Canis lupus familiaris: one gene and its partners. The protein of the gene in region 1 purifies or fractionates together with the protein of each later gene. This does not show direct contact. Links are inferred from orthologs where the notes say so. Each region holds a gene or a part of one and is shown on either strand. Other genes may lie near its edges. The genes, in order: LATS2, AJUBA and AMOTL2.

Region 1 (4,120 bases):
AAATCAAATAACATCAGCTTTAAAAATACTGAGAGAATAGCTGGACTTAGTGAAACTGGTAGTCCAAGCAGGGCTATCTTCAAACACCAGGAGCCATTCACAGATGCTCTGTGTAATAAAGCCCTGGTTCACACAGAATCATCCACCCACCGTATGTATAATGGGAATGGCGACACCTGGACTTGTGCCACAGAGGCCCAGTTCTGTCCAGAGAAATTATTAAGCAATAGGCTTTTGTAAAAAGGAAGGAGATTCAGAGAATTTTTTGAGCTGGAAATCAGTCACTTTCAGGATTATCAAGCCCAAGCCCTTCATTCTGCTGATCAGGATATGGTGCTCCTTTTTAAAGCAGATTTACAGTCCAGACAAAGTAAATGCACGGAGTTATCTTCTGTATTTCAAGCCATTTTTTAAAAAGTCAGTAGGGAATATTGCTTAGAAATTTCATATCATAACTATGAAATAAAATATAAAAGCAACCTTTGAAAAACAGAGTTGGTCTGGTTTATCTAATACAAAGCAGAACACCCAGCCCCCTCCAAAAGCTTTCCCAAATCTTTCCTATGTGTTTATGGTGAATTTATCAGCTTCACCACCTGCCCCCCCCCCCCCCCCCCCCCCCACACACACACAGTGGGATTTAGAAGCCTAGGGCTGGCTATTTACAACACAGCATTTAAAATAACAAGGCACCTTATTGTAAAAACATTCCCCTCCCACCAAAGGAAAGTCCCTCCCATCAACCCTGTGATTTGCTAAGGAGAGAAATATGTACAGTTCCAATTTACACTTAGGTCAAAACTATTTCCAACAAGATGGAGGGAATCCTTTCCAGTTCTAAAATTCCATGATTCTAGTAATTCACCTTAGTACTTTTGCATGATGTCTTCTGCTCAGATACCATTTTAAATTACTTGACATTTTGAGATTTATTAAATGTTTAGCAATTTTAATATCAAAGGAATACTGGTGTACTCATTAAACAGTGTACTATATATCTGGATAATGAGACCAAATTTTATGAGACGCTGAATAACATATAGTGTCTTGTTAATTATAATTTAAAACAGACTTTCTTAAACAGTCTCTGCATTCTTCTCCTGGAAGATTGTTCTGTTACTACCTTATTACGACAGCTGCTAAAGAAAAAAAAGTAAAAGATACAAGGCGGCTTAGTCTCTTGATTTAGCACTCGGAAATCGTGATCCACCATGGAAGGGATTTACGCTGAGAGTCAACGATATGGAACAAGACCTACTAAGTACAAATTTCCTAATAATAAGCCACGAATTGCTTTTCTCCGTTATTAAAGGAAGGCCCCTCATCTACTAATTTAAAGTTTAAACAGGACACCTGTACAAAGACAACACACGTTTTGTGACTTTACATTCAAATTTTAGTCCATTTAAGTTTCTTAGTAAAACGTTAACATATTTGCCGAATACTTTGGGGAGAGAGCTGTTTGGCCACCGAATTTTTATCGGCCGAATGGACAGTCTCTGGCTTGAGTACCGTTGCGCGATTTTTCAAAGGCTACATTACTATTATTTTTAGAGCACCGTCACTTATATCCTACATAGCTGTGAAAATGTCAAAGTGCTCGTTTAGGATTTGTCTTTATCAATCTACAAATAAAGAAAGTATACTTCCACGGTTATGACTGCAAGAAAACAAAATACTTGTCCCTGGAAGGGGTCAGCACGTGCTGCCTGCAGCGCCGGACACGGGCCGCGGCCTCCCGGGAGCTTCGCCGGCCCGCAGGGGTCTGTCCACCTTTCCCCGCCTCCGGGGCACCGGGGGCTCGCGTCCAGCGGACGGCAGGCTCGCTCCGGGCTGGCGCCGCCGCCCAACCCCGCCAGCGGGACTTCACCCCGAGAGACGCCCGTCCTCGAGTTCCGAGGGCAGGATGCGGAGCAGTGACGGGCAGTCCGGGGTCCGGCGGGGACCCGAGCGCACGTGAGGTTGCATCAGAAAAGAGGAGCTCCGCAAAGTCGGTGAACTGGGGCGCACGGGGAGCGTGTTACGCAACGGCCGCCGCTCTCCCGGCCGCGACCCGCGAGGACCGGGGACGCGAACCTGCAGGGGTCGACGCGGGTGGGCAACGCTGCGGCTCTGCGGGCGGCGCCGTCGGGGCGGGGGGCGCGGCGGGCGGCGGACGGCGGCGCGGCCCGGCCCGGCCCGGGGGGACCACCGCACGGGGTGCGAGGGGACGACCGCACAGCACAGCCCGCGGGCGGGCCGACGGCGCGGCCTCCGGGGACGGCGGCGCAGCGGGCGCGGACCCCGGTGCTCCGGGGCCGCCAGCAGGCAGGCGCCCGGCCCCGGTCGCGGGGAGCAGCCCGGGCCGTCGCAGCGGTGCCCCCGGCGCGGACGGCCTCTCGGGCCGCCCCAGCCCCGCCGGGAGCCCGGCGCACAACAAAGCGGCGCAGCGCCGGCGGCCGGGCGCTGCCTCCCCACGGCCCCCGCTCGGCCGACTCCGGACGGCCCGCGACGACGCGCCGCCAGCGGAGGCGGCTCCGGGCCCGGGCCGGGCGGGGGCCGTGGGGGCAGGGCGAGGGCGAGGGCTCCGCTCGGGACGAACTTCCTCGGCCGCCCTGCCGAGCCCGGCGCCCCTCCCGCAGCCTCGGCCCGAGGGTGGGCGCCCCGGAGCCCCGGGGCCCCGCCGGCCCGCGGAAACTTCCAGCCGCCCCGCCCTGGCCCCGGGCCCCACGCCCCCCGCCCCTGCCCCCTCACCTCCTGGGGCGCGGTCTACACCCTCCGGGGCGTCCCGGTCCGCGGCTCCGGGGCCTCGCGCGCCGGGGGACCGGGCGCCAGTGGCTGGAGCGGCTGCTGGCCCCGCGGGCACGGGGGAGCCCCGGGCGGCGGCGGCGCGGGCGGCGGCGGCTCCATCTTCCCGGGGCGCTCACGCCGAGGTTCCAGCGCGCAGACCCAAGTGGGACATTCGCTACATTGTTGGCATTCCACGGGCGTCACGTGACCCCGCCTCCCGCGTCACCGGCGGCCGCATACCAGCCCGGGCGGGGCGCCCGCGGCCCTGCTGCTCGGCGGCCGCCCCGCCCGCCCGCCCTGCCCCGCGCCGCTTCCTGCCTCCGGGTCCCCGCCGCCCGCCCGCCCGCCCGCCCGCCGCCACCTGCCCCGGCCGCCCCGCTCCAGGGTCGCCCCTCCAGCCGCACTACTCGGAAACTTGGTAACCCCGTCCTCGAGGCATCTCACACCAGCCTCGGCTGAGAGAGTGAGTTAACAGGCCTAGAGGAGCCACCGAAGTGCCCAAGTCTGTGTCAGCTGTTACAAGTAAGGGCAGAAGAGGACAACTTCACCCGTGCGAGCAAGTAATAAAGGACGTTCAGATATATATATCCCGATTTAGTCCGTTTTCATTTAATCAAACCCCAGAGCAATGGATATTTTATGAGAAATGTTTCCTGATGTGCAGAACGAGATAGTAACGTAGACCAACGAGTGAAACTCTGAGTCGTGCATGTCCATCTGTGGGCTGTGCATGTGGTGCAAGGGCATGTGCAGGGATGGTGCGGAGATGTGAGTACAAATAATAGCTTGCAAACGAACCCCTAACCCACTACTGGACTCTCCTGGCATCATACTTCCTACCACCTGCAGTCTGCGGCAGGTGATGGTGAGGGCTAATATTGTTTTAAAAGGCAGTCCAATTTCCTTTCCTAATACACTCTTGTGAAGTTTTTTAAACTTTTTTTGTTTTGTTTTGTTTTTTAAACTTTAATCTGAAAAGAAACCGTCATGAAGGTCATTAGCTCTGGCCGTTTTAACAACCTTAGTTAGCAATCCTTGGTGGGCCATCCTATACACTTTACTCTCTAATTCCCACCCAGGCTTTCAGCCCTGCCTCTGTCTTAGCTCTGCAAGGAAATCTTCCTAGATCCCCCAACTGTTTTCTCTCCTCTTTGGGCTCTGGTAATTAAGCCGATTATTGCGGCTTAATTACCAGAAATTGAAAATTTCATTTTTCAATCTTATCCTGTGCTCTACCCAGGCATCTTGAATGGCATAAAACCCCAGTGGATATTCTGTAATCGAGTCTCTTTTGCATTCACCTGTGTACCTATTCACTCATGCACTGACCTTTCTTTCTCCTTCCCAGCCC
Region 2 (4,405 bases), on another chromosome or scaffold:
CACAACCTAGGTTCTTCCTGCAATTATACTGCATTCTGTCCAAGCTCCTTTCTTCCTTTTCACTCTGATGGCTTGCCCAAAGAGACTTATTTCCACTCAACAGCCACTTCTCATGGGCCCCAGAAGGAAACTGCTAAAAGGATCTTGTCACTTAGTCTCCCTTGACCAAAGCATCATCTACTCTAGGCTTTCCTCTCTTAGGATGGGAGGACACGGTTGAACAGGGCAAGGAGGGTCCCGTCCCTGGCAGCCCTGCTACTTCTCAACCTGCCCTCCCTGGCTGGGTTCCTCCCCCGCCTCAACCTGCCCTCTTTAGCAGGGTTCCTCTCCCTACCCGCATTTCGAGCCATAGAGGCGTAGAGCATGGGGTCCAGGGCAGGAACATGGGTGGTGGGAAAGGTGAGAAGAGGCCCTGGGCCTTCCATTTGTGTTCTTTCTACCACATTAACATTTCTTTATATAATGAAGCGGTGACTGTGGGTGCTGGCTAAAAAGATCCTGAAAGATCCCAATATCCTCAGGTAGTTGAGGCATATCATCAATCAATACTTCCTAAAGGTAAACAGCGACTAGGTTTCCTTAACAGCAGCAGAAAATAACGTGCTACTTCAAGCCGGAATTGGATGCAGGTTGTGGCCCAAACTGGAGGCCAGGATATTTCTGGCAGTTACGCAGGGTCGTTAACCTGCTAGGGATGCTGGTGTCCGGGTGGTCAAGGCTAACGCCCTGACTTCCGGAGGTTGGGGAAAGTCGAGGCGGACAGCACCAGGTCTCGGCGTGAACGCCCACGCCCGCAGCACGCCAGCAGGATGGGGACGAGCCCGCAGCAGGTCCCTGCTTCCGTCCCGGAGCGCTTCACCCTCCTTCCCAGGCTCCATTTCCCCGACCGCGGCCACCGCTCGGCGCGTGTTAGCAAGCAGCACCCCGCCACCCCGCCCCGCCCCGCCCCGCCCCGCCCCGCCCGCGGGCACCTGGAGCGCCCGGGCAGGAGCCGGCACGCACGCGGCCCGCCCGCCCCGCCCCCACCCGCGCATTCCCCGAATTCCTGCGGGCGGAGCTTGGGCCCGGGTGGGGGCGCGGCGCGCAGAAGCCTGCAGGGGCACCGCCGCCGAGGGGGAGCAGGATGGGGGATGCTCTGGCTCCCCACCTAGTCCCCTCCCTACGAGGCCTCCTGCCGCGAGAAACGATGGCTCTGAAGCTTCAAATGGGGCTCACGAGATAATCAGGGAGTTGAGTGTGGCCGGAATAAGGAGCCCCGGGTCCGCTTGAGACCTGGTGGGAAGGGGAAATCCCCCTTGCCTCCTTCTAGCTCCACGTCTCCGCCTCCGACTTCCCGGCGCCGGCAGTTTGGCCGTCGGGCAGCGGGGAGCGGACGCGGTGACGGGTCCCGTCCCGTCCATAACCACTTCTCCCACTCACCGAAGTAGTCCTCTCTGGCCTCCGGCTCCCGCATCCGGGCCCGGGCGGCCTCTGCGGCGAACGCACCCGGCGGCTCCTCGAGACCCGACGGCTCAATCCCCGAGGGCTCCCCGCGGGCGCCGGTTTCTCGCCCACCCGTGCCCACCGTCAGGCGCAGCAACGCTGTTAGCTCATCCTGGTATCGGGCGCCCGCGGCACAGTCCCCGTAGCCGGTCACGGAGTGTCGTCCGGGCTGCGCCCCGCGCCTCTCCAGGGGCCCTGCGGGTCCCACTCCGGCGCCAGCTAGAGCTCCGGGGCTGCCTAGGGCCGGAGGATAGGAGTGGCGGCTTTCCTGGCAGCCGAACCCCGCGGGGCGGTGAGCGCACAGTCGGTCCAGGGCAGCGTGGAGCTCGGGGTAGGCGGACGGCACCCCTCCAGGGGAATAGCCCGCCGGAGCCCCAGCCAGGGGTGGGCCAAACAGGCACGGCCCGGCGGGCAGGGGGCTGCCGTGGCGCTGGTCGTAGCCCATGCTGATGCCGCTGGTACGGTTGCTGCAGGGTCGACTACCTCCGGCTCCGCCTGCTCCCGCCCCATCCAGCAGCAGGCTGCCCCGCGGGCTGGACGGCTTGCTGGCGTCGCTGGCTGAGCTACTGGCGAAACTGGAGCGGGGGCTTAGAGCTGGGGCCGTGGTCTCCAGCCGAAAGTCGGGGGGCAACGACTGAGGTAGAGGCAAGGCCCGGGTGGGAGGCGGCCCCCCGGAGAAGGAGCCTTCGTAGCGCTGCGCCTCAAAGGAGCCGCGCGGGTTCCGCTCAGCGTCCAGGGGGCCCTGCTCCCGGGCTGCCTCCAGCGGCTCATCCCCAGGTCCCCCAGTAGCTCCGCGGGGCCCTGATTTCCTAGGAGCCCCCAACCCACTCAGGCGCCCCTTGCCCGGCCCGGGGGTCCCATCAGACCCAGACCGGCTGGATTCACCCTTTCTGCGGCCGAACTTGGCGCTGCCGGAGTCCGAGAGCCTTAACTTCTCCAGCAGGCGACTAGCTTTCTCCCCTAACCGCTCCATGCCCTCGGGCCAGGGGCCTCCAGTCCCCTCCCCGCCCGGCACCCTGCAGCGTCTCGGCGGCCGCTTCTCTTTGCCCGCGGCCGGACTCCGGTTCCCCGGGGGCACGGGGTGGGCACAGGGGTCTAGTGGGCGGCCCGGATGCCCGGCGCCGGGAATCCCGCAGCATCCCCCGGCGAGAGGGGCTGCTTCCCCCCGCGCACCAGGAGCCAAGCGGGGCCAGAAGGGCGTACGGCCGCGGCTGTCCCGTCCGCCGGTCTGCCTGTCCCCGAGTCCACTCGCCCGGCCGCCCCGCTCTGCCCGGCCCCCGCCCCCCTCGCTCTCACGCTCCACACGGACCGAACTTCTCTCCCAAACTTTTGTCTGCCTGGCCGGATCTACTTTCCGGGAGGGGTGGAGCGCCGAGAGCGAGAGGAAGGGGGTGTCTGCGCAGGGATCCCGGGACGCCGGCGGGGGCGGGCGGTGCTGGCGCTGCCCGTCCTGGGGTGGAGACCCGCCGACTGGAGGCCAGAGGCGGCCGAGGGGCGGTGTAGGCGGCTGCTGCTCTGTCTCTCAGGAATTGGGACCGGGGGAGGTGGGGGAGGGGAGGGGAACTCTTTGTTTGCAGTTGGAATGCGCGGAGGGGCACGGGGCGACGTGGGGCTCGTTCTGCGCAAGCATCGCGACTTTGTTCCCGCTGTGGCAGAGAGGAGGGAGATCCGTAAAGAGGGGGCCGGGGAGAGAGGTAGCTACGTAAAGAGGTTCAGAGACGCGTATGTGAAGAGCCCAGAAGGGCGAGGAAGCCGGCGTAGAGAAGCAGTGGGAGACCGCGAAAGAAAGGGGGAGCCGGGGGGAGCCGGGTGGGCAAGAGGGTGGTGCGGAGACCTAAGGACGAGCAGACCAAGAAAAAGGCAAATTTGTGAAAGTCCAGACAGAATGAGAGACCAACAGATCAACTGCAATGAAAACACCACTCTCTGAACCCAAAGCTCTGCGACAGAAGAGGCAGGAAAAGAGCTTTGGTGAATGTGTAAAAGGAGTGAGGAAGAGTGTTGGGACTAATCTCGATCTTCAGGGTAGGACAGCTAGAGGAATAGAGACACCCCCTGGTGTTTGGAAATGAGATTTTTTAGGAACTGTTTCAGGCGACTATGGAGATAGAAGGCCTGGATGTAGAGCTAGCGAACGCCTCCGGCTAGGTGGGCCCATAAGAGATTGGTGATGAAGAGTATCAAAGAGAAAGAAAAGAAATGTCATTTAGAGAGCCAGCAAGTGAAAATGGTCAGGGTGGAAAAGGGAAAGAGGAGGCTTCTAGTGTTGGCCATACTAGAAAGATCAATAAGGAAAGGAAGAAACGGTGGCTGAAGTTGAACATGCCTAATTAAATACTAGCACAACTGACTTTGCCCTGACTAGCACATCAGGGGCAAGAGGTGGAGGAGGTAGAATGGAGAAGGAAAAGGATTCCTTTGTATTTAGATAGTAAATGAGTATGAAAATTATATGCAAACAAACCATGCATATTATTTTCATTTCAACATTTTGAACACCTTTCATAATCTTAGTTTAGCCTTAGGGAATGGGGAAGCAAAGGAGGTTAATATCTTTGGGGAAATTAATTTGGCACAGACTATTTGGCTTCTTTGTCCTAACTGCATTGTCTCCCTGACCTCATCTCTCCCGAGAATCAGCCTCTCTTTTTCCCTGTCAGGCCTACAGCTTTTCTCTGATCCAGAGTAGAGTTCACTATCAGACTAGAAGCAGGGAACACTGAAAGCATTAGTAACAGAGGGGAGCTATCAGGTTGCATCCAGAACCTGCTGTGAGCGACATCTTCAGAATTAACCATAAGGCTCTCCCTCCTTTCCTGTCTCCAGATGGGGAAGGAGAACCTGGATTCTTCCTTCCAACTACTTACAGCCAAAATATCCACAGAGCCTCTTATATTTAGAACCTTTCCCACTTTAGAGTGAG
Region 3 (4,327 bases), on another chromosome or scaffold:
GGGGGCTCCCTGTGCCCCCAGCCCCAGCCCCACCCCGCAGGGCCTGCTGTTGGATGGCCAGCAGCGTGCGAGTCTCCGTCAGGTTGCCATAGCGCAGCTGCTCCTGGATGAGGCGGTGCAGGACCGTCCCGGAGGAGTCTTCTAGCGTCCTCATGCTTCCTTGCCTTGTACACAGCTGCCTGGACAATGGCCGGTGGCACCTGGCCCCAGGGCACCTGGGAGGAGGGAAAGAAGAGCAATTAGTGGGAGCACAGGGGAAAGAGGGCAGGGGGTGCTTTCCGTTACAGTGTGGTCCAAAGCATAATGGTGAAGAGTAAGGCTATGGGGGCGGGGGGGGGGGAGGTCACACAAGCCTGGGTTCAATTGCCAGTGCTGCCACCTACTGATTAAGGCAAATGACCTAACCCGTGAGCCTCAGTTATTCCATCGGAATAACGCTTGCCTCATGGAGGTGAAAATTAAATAAGGCGATGGCTGCTGAGTGCTGGTGCACTGTAAATCCTTGGCAGAGGGCCACCGTTACAGTCATATTCACGGAGACTTACTAAAGAAAGCCACCAGTAACCTCCAAGGTAATCCATCACCCAGCCTCTGCAGTCAGCTTCCCAGTGAAAAGGCTGAGGAGAGACTCCAGGGCAGGAGTAGTTCAGCTACAACCACTGAGCAGGCCAGTCTAGGGGTAGACAGGGCCCCAGTTCATTGGCAGGTGATAAAGAAGGAGTCCAGCCTAGTAGAAGCCCTAGGCAGACAGCCCCTAGCTCCCTCTAGAATGTAGCATGCCTGAGCCCTAGGCTTGGCACGGGTAACTCACCACCCTCTACCACCTTTACCATGCTGGGCCCTCTCTGTCACGGGATGACCTTGACGGTCACTCTGCAAGGTGAACAGGAAGGACAAAAATGCATCGGGTTTGGCAAATAATAAGGGATCAAAGGAGAAGCTACAACAGGACGATGGTTTTGTGAAATGAGGTGAAAAAGATGCCACCCGTCAAGGTTTGTGGGTCAGTCATAGTCTGTGTGCTGACAGCAACTGCATGGGTGCTCCAGGAAAAACAAAGGGCGGCACCGTGTCTTTGACTTTAGGACTGTCCCTCCTACACACGTACACTTGCTACTTGGAAAAGACCCCGATGGCCCTCTGCCACATAGAGGGTGGGCACTCAGCATTTTGCCATCGGTAACACTTATCTGAGCTAACTGGAGGAGTAGGGGAGCGAGGGAGAAGCTCTTGGTTGCAGGGACCGGAGTCTGGGGCGGGGGTGGGCTGCTGGAAGCTTCAAGAGCAGGGAGTATCTCCTGAGGAAGGTATTGCCCTCTGAGCTTGGGCTCTCAGTGGCTCATGTCCCGAGGCTGCCTGCCTCACCCAGCTTCCTTCCACAGCCTCCTCCCACACAAAACTCCTAACTAGATTCAGGGAAAACCAAACAAAACCCCTATCCCCACAGGTCTTATGTATGGGGGGAGGTCAGTGGGAAGAATGTGGTCCCTTCTCGGCCACAAAACTAGCCCCATTGCCCTGCTGCCTTTAAGGTTTGGTAGGTTGGCAGAGCAGCCAGTGCCAATCTACTCCTCCCTCCAGGCTGCCCAGAAATGAGGAGAGGGAGAGGAGTCTGGAAGGCATCTCTGTGCCCATCCTTCTTGGCACCCAATCGGCCGCCCCCTCTCCCTACACCCCGGAGGCGTGGAGATGCAAGACTCCAGAGTTACCAGAGGCAAAACAAACTGCAATCAATTCGCCCTAGAGTTTCCTCCGCGGGGCATTTCCTAAAGTAATCAGTCTGGGCTGACTCTCCAGCCGAGAATGACGGTGGGGAGCAGGGTGGGGAGAAGGGGGGGGGGGTGGCGTGCAGAGCTTTCGGGACGGGCTCCTCGTGTCCCCCCCGCAGCCGTGAGCCTGGGAGCCGGGAGCACCTCCGGGGCCCCTGTGCCGCGTTTGTCCCCGTCAGACCCCTCAGATGCACATTCTTTCGGCTGAGCCGTTACTAAAATCTGTGACCGCGACCCGGCCATGCACCTTCGCTGCACCGGCGCACCCCGGCTTCCTGAAAACCAGCGCCCCCTCCCCGGTAAGCAAACCACTCCGGCTCGCGCCGGGGCTCGGCCTCGCCTACGGAACCCACGCGAGGGTCTCTAAGGAGGCGTGCACCGCAGCAGGGATGCCGCCCTGCCCGGGCTCCCGGCCGACCGCGAGCACCCGGAGCGCGCGGGGGGGGGGGGGGGGGGCGGGGGCCGGTGGCCCAGCAAGGTCTTTAAGCGTCGCGGGTCCGCCTCCCTCCCGGCCTCCCGAGCCCTCTTTGTTTTCCGAATGCTCCAGCGCTGACGTCACCGGGCTGGCCGGCCGGCCGCATTCTTTCTAAGTGAGAGCCGTTCCGAGGCTCCAGAGAGGATTTTCCAAGGAAGACAAAGAGGAATTCTTGGACGGGTTGGGGGCAAGGACACCTGTGATCTGCCCCCAACCGGATCGGCCCCAGGGCCCGCACCTTGAACCCGCAGCGGCGCCCCTCTGCCCAGCCCACGACCCGAAGCATAAGCCCCCGCTCCCCGCAAAGGCTGCCCCCTCCCCCCGCCCCAGGGGGCCCGCGGGCCGCCCAGAGCTCGGGACGGCCCCGGGCCGCCTCTGCGCTTCCTCGCAAGGGCGCCCCGCACCCGGGGTCGCTCGCCGCGCCGCGCCGGGCTCCGGCTCCCGCTCCCGCTCCCGCTCCCGGGAAGGGCGGGCTGCGCGGGGGCTCCGGCTGCACCGTGGCTCCCGGGCCGCGCTCCCCGAGGCGCCGGGCGGCCGTCCTTACCGCTGCGGCCCGCGGGTGCTCGGCGTGGTCGGCCCGGCGCGGCTCGCCCGGCTCGGTGGCGGCGGCGGTGGCGGTGTGCACTCGGCGGCGGCGCCGACGCTCTGGCCGCCCGGGCCCCGGCGCGCAGCTCCAGGCTCGGCCCGCGCCGGAGGCGGCTGCTATGCCAGGAATGTGAGAGTTTCAGGTTCCCCCTCGGGATCAAAGCGAACCACAAATAACCTCGCAGCGCGCCGCCCTCCTCCGCCCTCCGCCGCCCTCCGCCTCCTCCCCGCCCTCCTCCCGGCCCCCGCCTTCCTCCCGGGAGGCGGTGCCGCGCGCCCCGGAGCTCGGTCCCGGAGCTCGGTCCCCGGGACGCGCGGCGCCTCCCTCCGCGGCCTCCCCACGCCACCGCCGTGGGCCCCCGGGGCTGCTGGGGACGGATTCATGCCCTCGGCCATTGCCACCCCCCCCCCCGACCCGTCCCCACCTCCACCTTGCACCCACTCCTTCAGCCCATCCGCGAAACGACACCCGGAGATGGGCAGTCGCGGGTCCCCAAGGGGTTCTGGGCTTTGCTGCAGGGAGAGGGGCCCCGTGTGTGTGTGTGTGTGTGTGTGTGTGTGTGTGTGTGTGCAAGGGGAGGAGGACTGTCAAGATGTCCACACCCGCCCGGCTTGCTTGGACTCTACCTCGGTCCGGCTCGAGTCTCCGAACCCCCACTGCTCTCACCGCCAGCGGCCACCCTTGAATTGCCCTGTTATTGTTTACAAACACCTTTGCCAGCTCTTTTAGGGCCTGTCTCCACAGGAAGTGTGAATCTGGGTTGAGAATCTTCCGGTTAATTGGAGCCACCGAACTACTTGAATCACCCGCGGGCAGGCGCTCTGTCCAACATTTCTGGAAAAAGGTAGTAATGGGCATCCCCGAATTTACGCAGGGTGCACGGTGTGCCACCACCCGCTCCTCGCCTCGTCATCCCAGGCAGTCCTCCCAAGTCATCCTCCCAGGGAATTCTGTTATCATCCCTGAGTTTAAATGAGGAAACCAAGGCCCAGGGAGGTTAATTAGCTTGCCCCAGGGTCACGCGGAGCAGAAGTGATGAAGCCAAGTAACCGATGGCTGCTCAGTTTTTTCTTTTCTCTTTTTAAATTTCAATTCAATTCAATTTACCAACATATAGTATAGCACTCAGTGCTCATCCCATGCCCTCCTTAGTGCCCATCATCCAGTTACCCGAGCCTCCTCACCCACCTCCCTCTCTGCAACCCTTTGGTTCCCAGAGTTAGGAGTCCCTCATGGTCTCCCTCTCTAACTTTTCCCCACTCAGTTTCCCGCCTCCCTTCCCTTATGGTCCCTTTCACCATTTCTTATATTCCACACATGAGTGAAACCACATGATGATTGTCCTCGGGTTGACTTATTTCACTCAGCAAAACACCCTCCAGTTCCATCCAGTTTTACTTACTTACTTTTTTTTTTTAAGATTTTATTTATTTATTCATGAGAGACACACAGAGAGAGAGAGAGAGAGAGAGAGGCAGAGACACAGGCAGAGGGAGA

Evidence for each region.
Region 2: the proteins of LATS2 (region 1) and AJUBA purify together in Homo sapiens (affinity purification with western blotting; 3 studies listed by BioGRID and IntAct, with this or other methods). This does not show direct contact. The link is inferred for Canis lupus familiaris from reciprocal best matches to the Homo sapiens genes LATS2 and AJUBA.
Region 3: the proteins of LATS2 (region 1) and AMOTL2 purify together in Homo sapiens (affinity purification with western blotting; 3 studies listed by BioGRID). This does not show direct contact. The link is inferred for Canis lupus familiaris from reciprocal best matches to the Homo sapiens genes LATS2 and AMOTL2.

What each region holds. Positions count from the first base shown.
Region 1 is NC_049246.1:17,175,597-17,179,716, reverse strand, and holds the start of LATS2 (serine/threonine-protein kinase LATS2), read right to left. Parts: upstream 2,865-4,120; 5' UTR 2,734-2,864; intron 1-2,733. UniProt on the Homo sapiens protein: Negative regulator of YAP1 in the Hippo signaling pathway that plays a pivotal role in organ size control and tumor suppression by restricting proliferation and promoting apoptosis.
Region 2 is NC_049229.1:3,421,888-3,426,292, forward strand, and holds the start of AJUBA (LIM domain-containing protein ajuba), read right to left. Parts: upstream 2,828-4,405; 5' UTR 2,456-2,827; coding exon 1,420-2,455; intron 1-1,419.
Region 3 is NC_049244.1:31,681,371-31,685,697, forward strand, and holds the start of AMOTL2 (angiomotin-like protein 2), read right to left. Parts: upstream 2,916-4,327; 5' UTR 2,789-2,915; intron 216-2,788; 5' UTR 155-215; coding exon 1-154. UniProt on the Homo sapiens protein: Regulates the translocation of phosphorylated SRC to peripheral cell-matrix adhesion sites. Required for proper architecture of actin filaments.